2 linked regions of the Callithrix jacchus genome follow. The protein of the gene in region 2 interacts with the protein of the main gene of each other region in a pairwise test. Links are inferred from orthologs where the notes say so. Each region holds a gene or a part of one and is shown on either strand. Other genes may lie near its edges.

Region 1 (3,093 bases), on a different chromosome or scaffold from region 2:
TGTCTCAAAAAAAAAAAAAAAAAAATGAGATTTAAATTCCCACCAAAATCATTGTTGGTATTTCATTTTAACATGTATTCCTCTATCACACAGGCCACCCTAGTCCACCCCCTGAAAGAAAGGAGCTGAGGAAAGTGGCCCATTTAACAGGTCTGTATCTGGAAGGTACAGGTGGGATTTGGGAAAGCTTTTGGCAACAGGCAGAATAGCTGCTTGGTTTCATTACTGGGCCCTAGAGAGTTGTTACTTCCTGGTGACAGTATTTGAACCCAACAATACTAACATCTTTCTTGTCAAGTCAGTCTTGCAAACATACTTTGAGCCCCTATTCTCTGGGCAAGGGCCTCTTCTAAATTGGAGACCTAGAGCTAATTATGACATGACCCCTGTACATGACCTCACTCTTTTCAGTCATTCCCAAGTCCCTTGGGGATTGGGGGCACAGATCCAAAAGGTGAGAGCTGAGAAGGTGAGGAATGAGGACTTATTTTCATCAGTGCTTTCTTGGTTTTCTGGAAGAGCTTTACTCTGTTTTGTCCAAGAGTATAAATAGGAGTGAGAAGGGAAACTCAGTCCTGGCACTTGTCAACTTTCAGCCTGTGCCTGCAAAGTGGTGTGAAATGATATGGTATGGGCACTCCCATTGTAAACTTCATAAATAACTGAGAAGTGGATAAATATCACAGAAAGTGGTAGGCTATTGTCCCTGGTATTATTTAGGCAGAAACTGTAGAATGATCCAGTCAGATCAGCAGACACTTATTGAGTACCTGCTGTGTGCCAATTTTGGGATGTGAAGATGAGTAGCACATGGCTCTTGCCCCCAGGGAGCTTGACATCTAATAGGGAAAGACAGGCACTTATGATGATTTTAGTACTGCAGAGATTTGGGTTATGTTCTTGATGCTGTGGGGATACAAAGAAAAGGAAACTGTAGCCCAAATTGAGGAGCTGAAAAATTCTTAACTGCAGGTGAGAAGATGGACCAGATGGTTCCTAAGATCCTTCCCAACTTTAAGACATTAGAGTTCCTTGGATTTGGCTTTTTCCTTCAGGAAAGGACCTCAATGCCTAGCAGTTTTGGTGTTAGTTCTGAAAATAATAAAATCTTTGTTCCAGAGAGCTAATATTTTCTAATAATTTTTTACTGCAATTGATTGGGATATATACTATTGTTCTAATTGTGTGGATGACAAAACAGGACAACAATGTTTAAGAAATTCTGTGATGGATCAAGTTCTGGCCCCTCAGCCGGTTCTATATAGGCTGTGTCATTCCGGGTAAAACATTTGTTCAAGGAAGGACCCGCGGTTTTCCCATAGAAACTTAGTTTGTTGGATGCATGACATTCCTGGCTGAAAGCTCCTTTTGAATTTATTTCAGGCAAGCCCAACTCAAGGTCCATGCCTCTGGAATGGGAAGACACCTATGGAATTGTCCTGCTTTCTGGAGTGAAGTATAAGAAGGGTGGCCTTGTGATCAATGAAACTGGGCTGTATTTTGTATATTCCAAAGTATACTTTCGGGGTCAGTCTTGCAACAACCTGCCCCTGAGTCACAAGGTCTACATGAGGAACTCTAAGTATCCCCAGGATCTGGTGATGATGGAGGGGAAGATGATGAGCTACTGCACTGCTGGGCAGATGTGGGCCCGCAGCAGCTACCTGGGTGCAGTGTTCAATCTTACCAGTGCTGATCATTTATATGTCAATGTATCTGAGCTCTCTCTGGTCAATTTTGAGGAATCTCAGACATTTTTTGGCTTATATAAGCTCTAAGAAAAGCACTTTGGGATTCTTTCCATTATGATTCTTTGTTACACACACTGAGACTGTTGTATTCAATGACGGTCTTCTTAGGCACATTTGAGGTCAAGTAAGAAGACATGAACTAAGTGGACCTTGAGACCACAAGGTTCAAAAGGTCTGTAGCTCCTCACTCACCTAACGTTTATGAGCCAGACAAATGGAGTAATAAGACTGAAGAACATCTGGGCTGCCATGTGAAGAGGCAGAAGCATGGAAAAGCAGCTGCCAGATGTTCTACATTCATCTTCAGTGCCTGAAAGTATTTGGGCACATTGAAAAGGACGCCTTTTAACTCACTTCTCAGGGTGGGCCTTGCTACCTCAAGGGTGACTGTCTTTCTGATACATGGTTGTGACATGAGTGTTTAAGGGATGGGAAAGGAGGACTAGAGGCTTGCATAATAAGCTAAAGAGGCTGAAAGAGGCCAACACTCCACTAGCAGCATCTTCACTTCTAAACACATAGCCTGAGCCATCGCTGATAGTAACAGAGAAGCAAGAGAGATATTTTGAGGACTCATTCCATTCCTAACACAGCATGTGTATTTCCAGTGCAATTGTAGGGGGTGTGTGTGTGTGTGTGTGTGTGTGTGTGTGTGTGTAACTAAAGAGAGAATGTAGAGATTGTGAAATACATATTAGGAAAATATGGGTTGCGTTTGGTGATAGAGTTTGAATGCTTCTTGACAATAAACTCTAATAGTTCTTAAAAATCATTGATTTTCAGCTACTGATGAAGTTTTCCTAGAATATAATAAATATTTATATAGATGTACATTTTTGGGAAAAGAAAATGTAATATAAAGCATATGTTAGGATACAGATAATTTTTAGCAAATATTTTACAAATATTTGAATTTTTGCATATTATTTCTTTTTTCCATGGTTTCTTTATTCATTACGATGCCAGACCACTTTAACAAAAATTTATAGGCTGGGCGCGGTGGCTCACGCCTGTAATCCCAGCACTTTGGGAGGCCGAGGCGGGTGGATCACGAGGTCAAGAGATTGAGACCGTCCCGGTCAACATGGTGAAATCCCGTCTCTACTAAAAATACAAAAAATTAGCTGGGCATGGTGGCGTGTGCCTGTAATCCCAGCTACTCAGGAGGCTGAGGCAGGAGAATTGCCAGAACCCAGCAGGTGGAGATTGCGGTGAGCCGAGATTGTGCCATTGCACTCCAGCCTGGGTAACAAGGGCGAAACTCCATCTCAAAAAAAAAAAAAAGAAAAACAAAAATTTATTGGGGTGAGAAGAACTATGAGGCAATCTTTTCACCTTTGCC
Region 2 (3,197 bases):
TCAAAAACGTGGAAAAAACACATTGTTCTCTGGGACTGGACTGAGGGAGATGAGAAGAGACACTGATCTATACATGTTTATAGGTTGTATGGGAAGTTGAGGAGGCTTAGGGACACAATTTGCATAGTAGAGTAGGAGGTAAAATGGTTTTATGAGAATGAAGGAGAGGGGCTTGGCTTTGGGGCTTGAATTGAGTCATGAAGATACAGGCAGGCTATAGAGGGGCCAGGCAGGGTTGGACCCAGAGGAGAGCCATCCCCTGTGAGGGCGGGAGTGCAGCACCACCTCCTGCAACATAGCATCTCTCCCACTAGTCAGAGTGTCCCAGATTTTGAATGTTTCCCATTCATTGTAGAGATGGGTTTCTTCAGGATGGGCTAGGTCTACCAACCAGTATTTTTACCTGTAAGCTATGAAGTTCTTTTTGCCTCTGATAAAAATAGTGGGATCTAAGCACAGAATCCTAGTCTGGGAGCTAAAAGATATGCTGCACGTATCCCTACTTTCTTAATCTTATGTTTCCCAAATAGTACATATGGAAAAATAAAGATTGAGATAAAATTATTGTGCTTTATTTCTTTAAAGAATGAAAATGCCCATATTTCTTTCAATAAAAATGGAAATATGCTTATTTGACAGTTTTGTGAAGATGACCAAATTGTGATTTTAAAAATTCATTCTTTAGGTTGGCAAATTCTGATAATAAAATAATAGTAATTCTTTTCTACAAAAGAATTTTCTAAGCACTGCTTCTGTTACCAGACACTTGAGACTGACCCACCTCAGATCAGTGCTCTACATTAACCACAGAGACCCACACACGCACACATATGTATCTCCATACAGACATACTCTAAGATCACGCGGAATGCCATTTTTACATGTAGTGGTCACATCTTTATGAACTGTGAATTTGGGCCCTGTAATGGCACTGATAAGTGAAGTGTTCAAACCAAGCTTAATGGACGGAAGAGGTGATTGAGAAACACCTGAATGTCTTCTCTTGGGGGAACAGTAACCAGTTACCAAAGTCATGCAAAACAGAAGTGGCTCCCTTTGCTCTGGTGGATGCACCTGCCCTGGGCAGCAGGGAGCCTTCTGTGTAGCCTTCACCACTGACCACATGCTAGAGTTACTGCAAATGCAAATACGCTTTCTACAACAGCCCTGTCCCTTTCTCTTTTCCCAAAAGTATCAGTAAAGGTGGCTGCAATTTACATTGTGAATATATAGCAGTCTGTTGAGGGAATCATCTGTTATTAAAATAGCCTGAGTATTACTCCAGCAGAAGATGCTACAGCCTCTAAATTCACTGTGCTAGATGTAGCCCATGAGTTCTTTTATTATTTTATTAATAATAAATATATTTGAAAAATCCTATGCTTCAATGGATTTCTCCGATAAGGACTGAAGCAAGTCCTTATAGACGGTAGAGTTCATGAATCGAGGATACGAGTCTCTGTGCATCAGGGTGTAAATCTGAAGTTGAGCATCGTCGAATATGTGTTGGGACGGCTCCACCATGTTTCTGTTGATGACTTCTCTCACCCGGGAGTCTAAGCTCACCTGCCGACAGAAAGGAGTAGGATGTGTATTAGAGACTTCGGTTGTAGCTCCATCCCAAACTCCCAGAGCTTGTGTTCTTGTTTTCTTGAGACAGCCTCACCCTCGCCCAGGCTGGAGTACAGTGGTGCTATCTTGGCTCACTGCAACCTCCACCTTCTGGGTTCAAGGAATTCTCCTACCTCAGCCTCCTGAGTAGCTGGGATTACAGGGACCGCCACCATGCTTGGCTAGTTTTTGTATTTTTAGTAGAGACAGGGTTTCGCCATGTTGGCTAGGCTTGTCTTGAACTCCTGACCTCAGGTGATCTGCCCACCTCGGCCTCCCTAAGTGCTAGGATTACAGGCGTGAGCTGCTGCACCCGGCCTTGTTGTTTTTTAAATATCCCAAACCAAAGGAGATCGTCCCAAAAATCCAAACCCCCGAAAGAGAAACCAAAAGCATCATCAACGTGGTTCTCAAAGGCCAGTGGCATCAGTAGGTTCGAGGGCTTGTGAGATAGTAGCTGGGTCCCACCCCAGATTTAGGCGGTATAGAGGTCTCCCTGATTGCTTATTTCCCACAAGTTCTCACTGATGCTGGTGGGGCTCACACTGCTGCTTTGTAGAAAACAGGCAGCACAGACTGCCCCTTGCTCATTTCCTTGTAACATGGGGGCTGACGCCTGAAGGCCCAGACTTCCCCTGCTGGTCCACAGTGGCAGGTCTCAGGATGAGTGCTGGCCTGCCCGGAGGGTTGGGCACGTGAAGTGGACACTGACTCAAAATCCTGGGAGGTTCCAGTCACAGGGCCTGAGGGCAGATGATCCCAGAGTTTAAATTCCAGCCCTGTGACTGCATAGTTACAGGGCCTTGGGCAAGGTAAACTCTGTGTCCTAGTGAACTCCTCCCCTGAGGTGGGGATGATGATGAAGATGATGATGATAGTGTCAATGTTTTTGGTGATCTAATGACAAAGTGCTTGGATTTCACTAACCCCATAGGAGATGTCGCCTATTATCGCTCTGATGTTTGGCTCTTCCTAGACAAGACCGTCCCATAAACCAGAGCAAACGACTGGGCTCAAACTGTTCCTGTAGGACACTAGACAAATGAGTCTAGGCCAAAGGTGCAAACATGAACTCACAGGTCTCTTCTGCGGAAAGAACCTCAGCTGGGCCATCCCTGCACAGGCTGGCCATGATAGTTCCAATGCCACGCAGTGCTTTCATAAAAAAACTGAAAATAGGCCGAGCTTTTTCAGCTTATATACAGGTGGCTTACACCTGTAATCCCAGCACTTTGGGAGGCCAAGGCAGGCAGATCACGAGGTCAAGAGATTGAGACCATCCTGGCCAATATGATGAAACCCCGTCTCTACTAAAAATACAAAAATTAGCTGGGCACAGTGGTGCGTGCCTGTAATCCCAGCTATGCGGGAGGCTGAGACAGGAGAATCATTTGGACCCAAAAAGGCAGAGGTTGCAGTGAGCCGAGATCGTGCCACGGCACTCCAGCCTAGTGACAGAGTGATACTCTGTCTCAAAAAAAAAAAAAAAAAAACCCAAAAAAAACAAAGACTGAAAATGTAATTACTTAAATCATTAAATACTGGCTTATGTGATCTATCTTTCCAGGTGCATATATCCACCTTCC

What was found. The genes of interacting proteins can lie anywhere in the genome.
Region 1: the proteins of RGS20 (region 2) and FASLG interact in binary tests that used the Homo sapiens proteins (3 or more experiments, as listed by UniProt). The two-hybrid records come from large-scale screens. The link is inferred for Callithrix jacchus from reciprocal best matches to the Homo sapiens genes RGS20 and FASLG.

What each region holds. Positions count from the first base shown.
Region 1 is NC_133519.1:30,102,987-30,106,079, reverse strand, and holds the end of FASLG (tumor necrosis factor ligand superfamily member 6), read left to right. Parts: intron 1-93; coding exon 94-150; intron 151-1,383; coding exon 1,384-1,778; 3' UTR 1,779-2,520; downstream 2,521-3,093. UniProt on the Homo sapiens protein: Cytokine that binds to TNFRSF6/FAS, a receptor that transduces the apoptotic signal into cells. Involved in cytotoxic T-cell-mediated apoptosis, natural killer cell-mediated apoptosis and in T-cell development.
Region 2 is NC_133517.1:710,363-713,559, forward strand, and holds the end of RGS20 (regulator of G-protein signaling 20), read right to left. Parts: intron 1,567-3,197; coding exon 1,378-1,566; 3' UTR 551-1,377; downstream 1-550. UniProt on the Homo sapiens protein: Inhibits signal transduction by increasing the GTPase activity of G protein alpha subunits thereby driving them into their inactive GDP-bound form.